4 linked regions of the Saccharomyces cerevisiae S288C genome follow. Changing the gene in region 1 together with any one later gene gives a genetic interaction. Each region holds a gene or a part of one and is shown in the gene's direction. Other genes may lie near its edges.

Region 1 (3,593 bases):
AAGTTTATCATGCATTCTGCAAAGCTTCTGGTATTGATCTTCCATACAAAGTTACGGGCAGAAGAGCAGGTGATGTTTTGAACTTGACGGCTAAACCAGATAGGGCCAAACGCGAACTGAAATGGCAGACCGAGTTGCAGGTTGAAGACTCCTGCAAGGATTTATGGAAATGGACTACTGAGAATCCTTTTGGTTACCAGTTAAGGGGTGTCGAGGCCAGATTTTCCGCTGAAGATATGCGTTATGACGCAAGATTTGTGACTATTGGTGCCGGCACCAGATTTCAAGCCACGTTTGCCAATTTGGGCGCCAGCATTGTTGACCTGAAAGTGAACGGACAATCAGTTGTTCTTGGCTATGAAAATGAGGAAGGGTATTTGAATCCTGATAGTGCTTATATAGGCGCCACGATCGGCAGGTATGCTAATCGTATTTCGAAGGGTAAGTTTAGTTTATGCAACAAAGACTATCAGTTAACCGTTAATAACGGCGTTAATGCGAATCATAGTAGTATCGGTTCTTTCCACAGAAAAAGATTTTTGGGACCCATCATTCAAAATCCTTCAAAGGATGTTTTTACCGCCGAGTACATGCTGATAGATAATGAGAAGGACACCGAATTTCCAGGTGATCTATTGGTAACCATACAGTATACTGTGAACGTTGCCCAAAAAAGTTTGGAAATGGTATATAAAGGTAAATTGACTGCTGGTGAAGCGACGCCAATAAATTTAACAAATCATAGTTATTTCAATCTGAACAAGCCATATGGAGACACTATTGAGGGTACGGAGATTATGGTGCGTTCAAAAAAATCTGTTGATGTCGACAAAAACATGATTCCTACGGGTAATATCGTCGATAGAGAAATTGCTACCTTTAACTCTACAAAGCCAACGGTCTTAGGCCCCAAAAATCCCCAGTTTGATTGTTGTTTTGTGGTGGATGAAAATGCTAAGCCAAGTCAAATCAATACTCTAAACAATGAATTGACGCTTATTGTCAAGGCTTTTCATCCCGATTCCAATATTACATTAGAAGTTTTAAGTACAGAGCCAACTTATCAATTTTATACCGGTGATTTCTTGTCTGCTGGTTACGAAGCAAGACAAGGTTTTGCAATTGAGCCTGGTAGATACATTGATGCTATCAATCAAGAGAACTGGAAAGATTGTGTAACCTTGAAAAACGGTGAAACTTACGGGTCCAAGATTGTCTACAGATTTTCCTGATTTGCCAGCTTACTATCCTTCTTGAAAATATGCACTCTATATCTTTTAGTTCTTAATTGCAACACATAGATTTGCTGTATAACGAATTTTATGCTATTTTTTAAATTTGGAGTTCAGTGATAAAAGTGTCACAGCGAATTTCCTCACATGTAGGGACCGAATTGTTTACAAGTTCTCTGTACCACCATGGAGACATCAAAAATTGAAAATCTATGGAAAGATATGGACGGTAGCAACAAGAATATAGCACGAGCCGCGGAGTTCATTTCGTTACTTTTGATATCACTCACAACTATTGCGAAGCGCTTCAGTGAAAAAATCATAAGGAAAAGTTGTAAATATTATTGGTAGTATTCGTTTGGTAAAGTAGAGGGGGTAATTTTTCCCCTTTATTTTGTTCATACATTCTTAAATTGCTTTGCCTCTCCTTTTGGAAAGCTATACTTCGGAGCACTGTTGAGCGAAGGCTCATTAGATATATTTTCTGTCATTTTCCTTAACCCAAAAATAAGGGAAAGGGTCCAAAAAGCGCTCGGACAACTGTTGACCGTGATCCGAAGGACTGGCTATACAGTGTTCACAAAATAGCCAAGCTGAAAATAATGTGTAGCTATGTTCAGTTAGTTTGGCTAGCAAAGATATAAAAGCAGGTCGGAAATATTTATGGGCATTATTATGCAGAGCATCAACATGATAAAAAAAAACAGTTGAATATTCCCTCAAAAATGACTGCTGAAGAATTTGATTTTTCTAGCCATTCCCATAGACGTTACAATCCACTAACCGATTCATGGATCTTAGTTTCTCCACACAGAGCTAAAAGACCTTGGTTAGGTCAACAGGAGGCTGCTTACAAGCCCACAGCTCCATTGTATGATCCAAAATGCTATCTATGTCCTGGTAACAAAAGAGCTACTGGTAACCTAAACCCAAGATATGAATCAACGTATATTTTCCCCAATGATTATGCTGCCGTTAGGCTCGATCAACCTATTTTACCACAGAATGATTCCAATGAGGATAATCTTAAAAATAGGCTGCTTAAAGTGCAATCTGTGAGAGGCAATTGTTTCGTCATATGTTTTAGCCCCAATCATAATCTAACCATTCCACAAATGAAACAATCAGATCTGGTTCATATTGTTAATTCTTGGCAAGCATTGACTGACGATCTCTCCAGAGAAGCAAGAGAAAATCATAAGCCTTTCAAATATGTCCAAATATTTGAAAACAAAGGTACAGCCATGGGTTGTTCCAACTTACATCCACATGGCCAAGCTTGGTGCTTAGAATCCATCCCTAGTGAAGTTTCGCAAGAATTGAAATCTTTTGATAAATATAAACGTGAACACAATACTGATTTGTTTGCCGATTACGTCAAATTAGAATCAAGAGAGAAGTCAAGAGTCGTAGTGGAGAATGAATCCTTTATTGTTGTTGTTCCATACTGGGCCATCTGGCCATTTGAGACCTTGGTCATTTCAAAGAAGAAGCTTGCCTCAATTAGCCAATTTAACCAAATGGTGAAGGAGGACCTCGCCTCGATTTTAAAGCAACTAACTATTAAGTATGATAATTTATTTGAAACGAGTTTCCCATACTCAATGGGTATCCATCAGGCTCCTTTGAATGCGACTGGTGATGAATTGAGTAATAGTTGGTTTCACATGCATTTCTACCCACCTTTACTGAGATCAGCTACTGTTCGGAAATTCTTGGTTGGTTTTGAATTGTTAGGTGAGCCTCAAAGAGATTTAACTTCGGAACAAGCTGCTGAAAAACTAAGAAATTTAGATGGTCAGATTCATTATCTACAAAGACTGTAAAAAGAAAGTGGAATATTCATTCATATCATATTTTTTCTATTAACTGCCTGGTTTCTTTTAAATTTTTTATTGGTTGTCGACTTGAACGGAGTGACAATATATATATATATATATTTAATAATGACATCATTATCTGTAAATCTGATTCTTAATGCTATTCTAGTTATGTAAGAGTGGTCCTTTCCATAAAAAAAAAAAAAAAGAAAAAAGAATTTTAGGAATACAATGCAGCTTGTAAGTAAAATCTGGAATATTCATATCGCCACAACTTCTTATGCTTATAAAAGCACTAATGCCTGAATTTATGTTGAAAATATGTGTCACAAATAAAGAAACTGTGACATCTGACACATTTCCACTTTATTGACAAGAATAGAATTTCTTTAAGTTTCCCCTCTAGATTATTTATTTTCAAATTTTAGGCTCTGTTGAAGTTTATTACGTAGAAATTCCTACGATAGTTATTAGTCCTAATTGGATGTTGCAGCAAGGCTCATTGTCGGTGTCGTTATCGATGGAAATCCTGCACCTATGT
Region 2 (3,830 bases), on another chromosome or scaffold:
TTTTGTTCTCTTCGATCTTTGGTAGAAAGTGTGTGTATCAAACTCGAAATGGTCATTTTTTCTTTTATTCATGATCGTATCATTATTGGCGTCGCTGTTGTATGTAGTGGCGGCATTGCTACCGGAATTGCAATTGTTTGTTTGGAACGCAGTATTGTGTTCATAGTATGAGAGCATTTCACGCAGCACACTTGAGTCTTAAATTAATGAATAAAAGCAGCCAACCCCAAGAAAAAAGAGCCCTTATCTGTTTCTGTCGCAGTCCTATTGTATTCTTCCTAACTATATAATTTTGTCAAAATGAAAAATATAAAAAAAATAATAAAGTCAGCTGAGTGGTAAAGAGAAAGCAAAGGGAGAGAAAAATCGGTTACCCAGATGGATTAGGTTACCCAGATGTCATACGTGTATCATGATTTCTAGAAATTATTACCCTGTTTGGTACCATGACAACGGATATGGCAATCTTGCATTAAGTAAAATGTCTCTAATGGGACCGTGAAGGTACAAAACAGCAATGGTCTAGGTAGTGGCATTCGAAGCTTCGAAAGCGTGGCCTCGCCTCGAGCGTGAAGTCATATTTTCTCACTCTGCACTGCCGTGCTGTGCCATGTAGCCCACTGTATGCCTCTAGCACCCCAATCGGGAAAATTGTAAACATTAGCAGGTGTCGCCTCGAGGCCCCCGATACATTTTTCAACATCTCCTCGATACTTAAACAGCAAACAAACAAGCAACACCCACGCAAGAAGATTTATTAATACCTCTTGACTCCCGTAGATATTGAAGAGACTAAGTATAGTAACGCATATCCGCACAATACTATGGTTAAGGTCTGGAATATAGTACTACGTCTGGTAGTGTTGCTGTTTTTAGCAGGTAATACCTTGCTGTTAATTTTGATGATTATATCTGGTGCCACGGACCATTACCCCGTGAACAGATTCTATTGGGTGCAGGGCAATACAACAGGCATACCTAATGCTGGGGATGAAACACGTTGGACGTTTTGGGGCGCCTGTCTACAGGATAAAGACGGGTCGGATACCTGCACAAGCAATTTGGCACCTGCATACCCCATTTCCCCAGTAGATAACTTCAACACACACATCAATGTCCCTCACCAGTTTATTTCCAAAAGAGACGCTTTTTACTACCTGACTAGATTTTCATTTTGTTTCTTTTGGATTGCGCTTGCCTTTGTAGGTGTGTCGTTTATCCTTTACGTTTTGACTTGGTGCTCGAAGATGCTTTCAGAGATGGTGCTTATCCTCATGTCTTTTGGGTTTGTCTTCAATACGGCAGCCGTTGTCTTGCAAACGGCCGCCTCTGCCATGGCAAAGAATGCTTTCCATGACGATCATCGTAGTGCCCAATTGGGTGCCTCTATGATGGGTATGGCTTGGGCAAGTGTCTTTTTATGTATCGTGGAATTTATCCTGCTGGTCTTCTGGTCTGTTAGGGCAAGGTTGGCCTCTACTTACTCCATCGACAATTCAAGATACAGAACCTCCTCCAGATGGAATCCCTTCCATAGAGAGAAGGAGCAAGCAACTGACCCAATATTGACTGCCACTGGACCTGAAGACATGCAACAAAGTGCAAGCATAGTGGGGCCTTCTTCCAATGCTAATCCGGTCACTGCCACTGCTGCTACGGAAAACCAACCTAAAGGTATTAACTTCTTCACTATAAGAAAATCACACGAGCGCCCGGACGATGTCTCTGTTTAAATGGCGCAAGTTTTCCGCTTTGTAATATATATTTATACCCCTTTCTTCTCTCCCCTGCAATATAATAGTTTAATTCTAATATTAATAATATCCTATATTTTCTTCATTTACCGGCGCACTCTCGCCCGAACGACCTCAAAATGTCTGCTACATTCATAATAACCAAAAGCTCATAACTTTTTTTTTTGAACCTGAATATATATACATCACATATCACTGCTGGTCCTTGCCGACCAGCGTATACAATCTCGATAGTTGGTTTCCCGTTCTTTCCACTCCCGTCATGGACTACAACAAGAGATCTTCGGTCTCAACCGTGCCTAATGCAGCTCCCATAAGAGTCGGATTCGTCGGTCTCAACGCAGCCAAAGGATGGGCAATCAAGACACATTACCCCGCCATACTGCAACTATCGTCACAATTTCAAATCACTGCCTTATACAGTCCAAAAATTGAGACTTCTATTGCCACCATTCAGCGTCTAAAATTGAGTAATGCCACTGCTTTTCCCACTTTAGAGTCATTTGCATCATCTTCCACTATAGATATGATAGTGATAGCTATCCAAGTGGCCAGCCATTATGAAGTTGTTATGCCTCTCTTGGAATTCTCCAAAAATAATCCGAACCTCAAGTATCTTTTCGTAGAATGGGCCCTTGCATGTTCACTAGATCAAGCCGAATCCATTTATAAGGCTGCTGCTGAACGTGGGGTTCAAACCATCATCTCTTTACAAGGTCGTAAATCACCATATATTTTGAGAGCAAAAGAATTAATATCTCAAGGCTATATCGGCGACATTAATTCGATCGAGATTGCTGGAAATGGCGGTTGGTACGGCTACGAAAGGCCTGTTAAATCACCAAAATACATCTATGAAATCGGGAACGGTGTAGATCTGGTAACCACAACATTTGGTCACACAATCGATATTTTACAATACATGACAAGTTCGTACTTTTCCAGGATAAATGCAATGGTTTTCAATAATATTCCAGAGCAAGAGCTGATAGATGAGCGTGGTAACCGATTGGGCCAGCGAGTCCCAAAGACAGTACCGGATCATCTTTTATTCCAAGGCACATTGTTAAATGGCAATGTTCCAGTGTCATGCAGTTTCAAAGGTGGCAAACCTACCAAAAAATTTACCAAAAATTTGGTCATTGACATTCACGGTACCAAGGGAGATTTGAAACTTGAAGGCGATGCCGGCTTCGCAGAAATTTCAAATCTGGTCCTTTACTACAGTGGAACTAGAGCAAACGACTTCCCGCTAGCCAATGGACAACAAGCTCCTTTAGACCCGGGGTATGATGCAGGTAAAGAAATCATGGAAGTATATCATTTACGAAATTATAATGCCATTGTGGGTAATATTCATCGACTGTATCAATCTATCTCTGACTTCCACTTCAATACAAAGAAAATTCCTGAATTACCCTCACAATTTGTAATGCAAGGTTTCGATTTCGAAGGCTTTCCCACCTTGATGGATGCTCTGATATTACACAGGTTAATCGAGAGCGTTTATAAAAGTAACATGATGGGCTCCACATTAAACGTTAGCAATATCTCGCATTATAGTTTATAAAAGCATCTTGCCCTGTGCTTGGCCCCCAGTGCAGCGAACGTTATAAAAACGAATACTGAGTATATATCTATGTAAAACAACCATATCATTTCTTGTTCTGAACTTTGTTTACCTAACTAGTTTTAAATTTCCCTTTTTCGTGCATGCGGGTGTTCTTATTTATTAGCATACTACATTTGAAATATCAAATTTCCTTAGTAGAAAAGTGAGAGAAGGTGCACTGACACAAAAAATAAAATGCTACGTATAACTGTCAAAACTTTGCAGCAGCGGGCATCCTTCCATCATAGCTTCAAACATATTAGCGTTCCTGATCTTCATACCCGTGCTCAAAATGATCAAACAAACTGTTATTGCCAAGAAATAAACGCAAGGCTGCCTTCAAAAACTGATCCATTAGATCCTCATATCAAGCTTCCTCATAGAACGCCCAATTACAATAAGCATGTTTTGCTGTTATCACCGGGTGATAGGTTTGCTCAACCATGGAAGGTAGCATGGAATCA
Region 3 (2,353 bases), on another chromosome or scaffold:
CCTTCGGGACGTTGCAACAATACGTGAAAAATGCCTCAAAAATAATAAATACAATGGTGAACAACGTTAAAAAAGCATAAAACAGCTGGCTATTTTGATCAGGATAACATCTATAAGTGCCATATTAAGGCAAGATATCAATTGACCATGCAAACACCTTCAGAAAATACCGACGTAAAGATGGATACTCTCGACGAACCCAGTGCACATTTAATCGAAGAGAATGTAGCTCTTCCCGAAGACACATTCAGTTCACATCTGAGTTATGTACTTTATGAAATTGCTCATTGTAAACCGATCATGTTTATGATCATCATAATCGTGAGTTTGATCTCATTGATTGTGCTTTTTCATGATAACGACGGGTGCACTGTGATCTTAGTGATGTCCCTTATAGTAGCCTCCATGGCTTTAATGGTGGTTGCAGCATTCACATTCGGGAAAGCGATCACTGAACAGGAGTTCATGATAAAGCTTTTAGTGGAGGTGATCGCACGCAAGCCTGCGGGGAAGGAATGGGGTACTGTCGCATATAATATGAACCAATATCTATTCATGAAGAGACTATGGTATACCCCGTACTATTTCTATAGCGGCAAGAAGTGCCATGAGTTCTTCACCACTCTTATCAAGGAAGTGAATTCTGGTTCGCACTCGGATTCCTCATCGAATAGTGCCGAGGATACACAATCACCTGTCTCAGCAGGGAAGACTTCAAATGGTCTAAACAACTTTTATAGTATTAGATCAGACCCTATTTTGATGGCATATGTTTTGAAGGCAACACAAATAGAAAAGGAGGCTCAAAGTGAATACTGGAGAAAGCAATATCCTGACGCTGATTTACCTTGAAGCGGAAGCATTTTATTCACCAAGTATACTTACTTTTCTTTAAAACGAGAACAAGAATCGAATTCAAGAACATCTCGAAGCCAGAATTGAGCATCATATATTCGAGCTGTACAAACATCATGGCCTACAACTATCGTATTTGTAAGTTTTTTTAGAGGTTTTCATATTTGTTTAATAAGGGTTCTGTCAGTTTTTGTCACATTCTATTGTTGCGCTTCGCATAATGCAGCCAAGAAAATCCAAACAATAGAAAAAGAAAAAAAGGATCTCAAAAAGGGTTTGGTGTTGTAGTTATAAGAATAACTAGTGAATAAAAAAGCTGTTGTTTGGTCCGTATTACATTCGTCAAAAATTTAGTACTCAAATCGTGTATGCAATCGCAACCACAAAATAAAAATATTAGACTGGATGTGTTGAGTGGAGATGGTGCCAATTTAGTTGAGGGAAATGTGGTCCTTCCCAAAGACATGTTCAATTCGTACTTAAGTTATTCACTTTACGTGTTACGAGGGGGCTCATTGTAAGCCGATAATGATTATGTTCCTGGCATCTGTAATTTTGATTTCACTGACTAATTTCCGAGTATACCATCTCATGTCCCTTCTATCCTCTTTTTTCATCTCCGGGACAGACCGACAATAAAGCATCTAATATTAGGCTTTCGTTAGAGGTAAGCACACGCCAGCGTTCGGTGAAAGGGGAATGAAACATTATCACGTACAAGATGAATAAATATCTATTTGACCATAAAATATGGAGTACTCCTTACTACTTTTATTGCGAAGAAGATTGCCACCGTCTTTTTCTAAGTTTTATTGAGGGAAGAACTTTCGAGAAGCCAACAAGCAACGCTGAGGAAAATGTACAGGAGACTGAAGCTGGCGAATCTTTCACATTAAATCCCGGAGAAGATTTTCAAAATTGCTTTCCAAGACAGCGGATATTGTAGAACAATCTCAAGTGAAGTATTGGCAAGATATTGGTGCAATTATTTGAAAGGAAGGAGAAATATTCTGACAGTACCTTGCTAGCAAAGGGATTTACCAATCCACTGACGCTAAAATGGGGTAGTAAATTAGATAAATTGCATTCTAACGTGACTTTATATAGTGGGAAACAGATATGTAGCACACAAAACGGCATGATTATGCTTAATTGATTCCTATTTTTTAACGTAAATACTCTCCCAGAACGATCAGAAAACTTAACCCGCAACCATCTTTGCTGTGCTAACAACTTATGTCGCCTCAATACCATTTTTATTTTGTATCATTCCGGAACTTAGTATTGAATGAAAAATGCCTCCGAAGTAAAAAGCAGGTGATGAAAAGTTTCAATTGGTATAAGACAGATCGCTATTTTGATCCGCATAACATCCTTCAACACCATAGCAGAGCTATAGAGAAGACAAGATATAAACTGGGCATGCAAACATCTTCAGAAAGTACCGACGCCAAGTCGGATTTTCTCGACGAACCCAGTGCATATTTAATTGAGAAAA
Region 4 (4,516 bases), on another chromosome or scaffold:
TTTTATATGGTTTTTTGTCTTTTTTCGTATTTTTTTGTCCTTTTCTAAAATACTATAGCAAAGCAAAAAAAAAAGTAAAAAAAATTTGATTTATGAAAAGTTGAAATATCCTGGAAAAATTAGTTAAAACCTCCCAATATTTCTGTAGTTATTGATTGATTGCCCGTTTATTTTCTATTTTGCTGATATTGTTTCTGCTAACGTTTCTTTATATAATCCCGCTTGCTGACACAGAAGTGACTAAAATAGGGTAAAAAGGGAAATTATTACGAAAAGGGCAGTCCAAAGCAAATAAAAAACAATGGAATAGAAAATAAAAAAAATTAAAACTCAAAATAAAATGTATTCCAATGTAAAGGAAAAAATAAAATAATAGGAAAAAAGAAACTATTATTTTAAAGCCTTCAATAATGGAATGCTGAAAAGAAAAGTTATGATTTTGGTAATTTGAGTCAAATAGTCAATCAATGACTTTTTGTTTTTGGTTTTTCAGAAATAGAAATTACCAAGAACCTTAATTGATAAAAAAAAGGGGAGCTTGAAGGGAATACTGATAATACAAACAATATCGTGTAAAAAAAACCTACGTAAAAAATTAAATCAAGCCAAGCGAGAACAGAAAAAAAAAATGAAGTAAAATATTGGACTGGAATATGAAAATTTTAGAAAAAGAACTAGCCGGGATAAAAGTACAAGAAAAGGAGAAGAAGAAAAATTTTTGACTTCTCATCGCATGGGTTTTCAGAAAATTTTCTTATCAAAAATTTCATCGGGCGTATGATTTTCGTTTTTTTCTGCGTCGTTCCTTCACAAAGTATCGAAAACCCCAAACAAAAAAAATATAAAAAAAAAAAAACACCCTTGCACCCATAACATACGGCGAGATGTAAGGTAGGTATAGCAGACTTAGATATTGCGTGCGAATCAGTTTGATTCGCAAGTAAAATCTTCATGCGCATTAGTATAGAGCGTTGGAAGCAGTTAACATAGTATTTCGGTTTTTTTTCCCTTTCATAAAAAGGATTCTTCTTCCATAATCCCTTGCGTGAGTTGAATATGAATGAAACTCGTTGAACTAGTGAACAACAAGTGATTGTATGCTCATATTTAGTACTAACATTTCAGCATTGTATAATCCTTTCTTTACTTTCAGGATAAAGACATACATTCTACGTATGATCAAGAGTAAGGAACAAGAATATTAAAAAAAACGAGATGAACCTTGAGTATATATATATATATTTACACCAATGTGCCCTACGAAAATAGTGAAAAAAAAATTTCAGTTGCAACCGCGTTTTGTCCGTTAGTATCTTTTGTCCGTACACCTCGTACTAAAAAAGAAAACCAGTCCAAAAAGAAAGTCAAACGGTCCAAATCGGAAACACCGACGCTCAGCTTAATAAACATTGTGTAGAGCCAAGCGGAAAAGAATACCATTTAGCCGCCGATGCAGAAAACCGGTATATAGAGCTGAAAACAAAGATTGAACTCTCCAGACAAGTTAGAAGTAAAAGCAAGTAATATATAAGTTTTATAAGTGAATATTCGGTCGAAGGTAGTGTCAAAGTTACATCACCAAAACTACTTACTATTGAGGAAATATCAGGTGTGCCAATACGTTAATTGATCTGTGAATAAAAAACGAAGTTGGAACATTGTATTACCTTTCAAATATGCCATAAAAGGTTGCTCGTCGACTAAGTAATTAATCGATTATAAGAGGGAAAAAGCGGGGTAAGTAAAATGTAATATCATCATATACGATATACATACCGCCTGTGGAATCGTTCAATTGCTACACATGTCTAACTAAGGACGTACTGTCTATATGTTTGCTTAAGTTGGCTCTGCACAAAATAATATCAGAGCCTTCCACTGGGATACAGATGCTTTCCCATAATGCTTTAAGGGCCTTTGATTGTTCAAAGGTGATTATTTCACGAAGATGTCTAACCTCTTCAACATCGATATACCAACAAAGCAGCGTTCACTTACAAGAAACAGATGATGGACATTCAGGAAATAGAGAAAAGCACGTCTCACCGTTTGAAAGGGTACAAAATTTGGCTGCTGATTTGAAGAACGAGTTGAAAGCTCCAGATTCAGATATCAATGAAGTTTTTAATGACTTTAAAGATAAGATTGAATCGTTGAAACAGAAATTAAGGAACCCTTCACCTATGGAAAGATCACACTTGTTAGCGAATTTTTCTTCGGATCTCCTACAGGAATTAAGTTACAGAAGCAAAAATATGACGCTAGATCCTTATCAAGTATTAAACACATTGTGCCAATACAAATTGGCACGCTCACAACATTTCACGATTGTTTTAAAGTACCTTCTATATAATCAATCACCACAGGACGTTATTGCCTTATGGGTGAAGTACTTGGAAACCATTTCCGAAAACCCAGTGATCTTACTTCAAAATAGTTCTTCTCGTGCACATATGCAAAATATTGCAATTACCACCATTGCTTACTTATCTTTACCAGAGAATACTGTGGATATCAATATTCTGTATAAGATTTTACAGATCGATCGTAAAATGGGCCAGGTTTTACCTTTTAACATGATTAGAAGAATGTTAAGTACAGAATTTAGCTCTCTTGAAAGAAGAGACGTGATTATCAAAAATCTAAACACTTTGTACTATCAATACACAGTACAGGATAGTGATCATTTCTTAAGTCAAATTGAAAATGCTCCTAGATGGATAGATTTAAGGGATCTTTATGGCCAATACAATAAACTTGAAGGTGAGAAAAATGTAGAGATCATAAGCAAGTTCATGGACAAGTTTATTGATTTGGATAAACCCGACCAAGTTGTTACTATTTATAACCAGTATAGCAAGGTTTTCCCAAATAGTACGTCGCTGAAAGATTGTCTTTTAAGAGCTGTGTCGCACTTACGAGCTAAATCGAGTAAAGAGAAGTTGGACAGAATTCTAGCAGTCTGGAACAGTGTTATCAAACCAGGAGATAATATTAAAAACACATCTTATGCGACGCTAGTTAACGCACTAACTGATTCTGGAAATTTCAACCATTTAAAGGAATTTTGGGAAGAAGAACTTCCTAAAAAGTTCAAGAAAGATCCCATCGTGAAGGAAGCATTTCTCCTGGCCTTATGTCAAACTTCGCCTCTAAAGTATGACCAAGTCAAAGGGGAGTTAGCAGAGACTGTTAAAACCAAGAAGTTGTTCAATAAAGTTTTATTGCTAATGTTAGATGATGAAAAAGTGAGCGAAGAACAATTCAACACATTTTACTATAACCATTATCCATCAGATGGTGTGTTACCCCCTACTTTGGATACTCTAAGCATTAAAATGTACGCTAATTATAAATTTCAGGCAGAAGATACACGCCCACAATTCGATCTATTGCAAAGTGTTTCCATTAATCCCACCGATTATGAAAAGGTTGAAAAGATTACGAAAGCCTTTATTTCAGTGTGCCCCACTGTCGAGCCGATTCGTCAACTTTACAAACAATTGGGAACTCACTTAAATGCTAGGAATTATGCAGACTTTATTTCCGCAGAGTTTAATAAGCCTGACGGCACAGTGGCCGAGGCAAAGAATTTGTTTTCTGATTTTCTCTCATATCAAAAGACTAGAAAGAGAAACGTGGATAATACGCCTCTAAATGCTTTATTATTGGGGTTCTGTGATAAACTTTACAAGAGTAAACATAGCGAGTACGTTCCCTACATCGAAAAGTACTACAATCTAGCTAAGGATTCAAGTATCAGGGTGTCGAACTTGGCCGTTTCGAAAATTCTATTCAACTTGGCCACATTTGCACGCAATACTCAGCAGTTATCTGACAAAGAGGTTGCTTTTATTAACCAGTTTATGCGAGATTTAGGCACTAATGAGGGTTTTCGTCCCAACCCTAAGGATATTCAAATTTTAAAAGAATGTGATGGAATTACTGTTCCAGAAAAGTTGACTTAATACACTTGTCATAAGAAGACAATAAGAAAAGCTCAGAACCAATTTTCTGCACATATGATGCTGTAACTATATAATGATTTCTTGTATATAACTTCCGTATAATAGTTATTGCTTCCATGCATGATTCTTTCAAAGAACAATACAAAATAAAAATAAAAAAAAAAAAAAAAAATGAAAAAATGAAGCTACAAGTCGGGTAACAAAAAGTATTTCAAGATCTCTAAATATAAGTGGGCAAATAAAGTTAATGCCAAAACTCCATGCTACTTTTCACCTGAACTTATTGGGGGGAGTTAAGTCTATAAGTATCCGTAACGTATGGTAGCGACATCTTCAAAGAGGACGTTGGATCCGAAGGAGGAACATTTGCCTGCTGACAAAACATCCACTAATTCAAGCAACACTATAATATCTGAGTTGGCAACACAAGAGAAATCCAGCTCTAGTGGTACTACACTAAAATTAATAGCTCTTAATATCAAGTCCATATCAGATGAAGATGTGGGATATATCCAAAATGTTGAAAGACTGTCTTTAAGGAAAAATCA

The links.
Region 2: mutations in GAL7 (region 1) and GAL80 together harm fitness less than expected from each alone (positive genetic interaction), as found in Saccharomyces cerevisiae (one study listed by BioGRID).
Region 3: mutations in GAL7 (region 1) and DFP2 together harm fitness more than expected from each alone (negative genetic interaction), as found in Saccharomyces cerevisiae (2 studies listed by BioGRID).
Region 4: mutations in GAL7 (region 1) and MSC6 together harm fitness more than expected from each alone (negative genetic interaction), as found in Saccharomyces cerevisiae (2 studies listed by BioGRID).

The regions. Positions count from the first base shown.
Region 1 is NC_001134.8:273,892-277,484, reverse strand, and holds GAL7 (UDP-glucose:hexose-1-phosphate uridylyltransferase), read left to right. Parts: upstream 1-1,957; coding exon 1,958-3,058; downstream 3,059-3,593. Other genes in the region: GAL10 (bifunctional UDP-glucose 4-epimerase/aldose 1-epimerase), read left to right, coding at 1-1,232.
Region 2 is NC_001145.3:169,578-173,407, forward strand, and holds GAL80 (transcription regulator GAL80), read left to right. Parts: upstream 1-2,016; coding exon 2,017-3,324; downstream 3,325-3,830. Other genes in the region: YML053C (uncharacterized protein), read right to left, coding at 1-177; SUR7 (Sur7p), read left to right, coding at 825-1,733; AIM32 (Aim32p), read left to right, coding at 3,562-3,830. UniProt on the Saccharomyces cerevisiae protein: This protein is a negative regulator for the gene expression of the lactose/galactose metabolic genes. It binds to GAL4 and so blocks transcriptional activation by it, in the absence of an inducing sugar.
Region 3 is NC_001133.9:184,745-187,097, forward strand, and holds DFP2 (DUP240 family protein), read left to right. Parts: upstream 1-1,576; coding exon 1,577-1,801; downstream 1,802-2,353. Other genes in the region: KTD1 (DUP240 family protein), read left to right, coding at 148-852; pheromone-regulated DUP240 family protein PRM9, read left to right, coding at 2,092-2,353.
Region 4 is NC_001147.6:1,000,599-1,005,114, reverse strand, and holds MSC6 (Msc6p), read left to right. Parts: upstream 1-1,889; coding exon 1,890-3,968; downstream 3,969-4,516. Other genes in the region: SOG2 (Sog2p), read left to right, coding at 4,287-4,516. UniProt on the Saccharomyces cerevisiae protein: May be involved in the control of meiotic sister-chromatid recombination.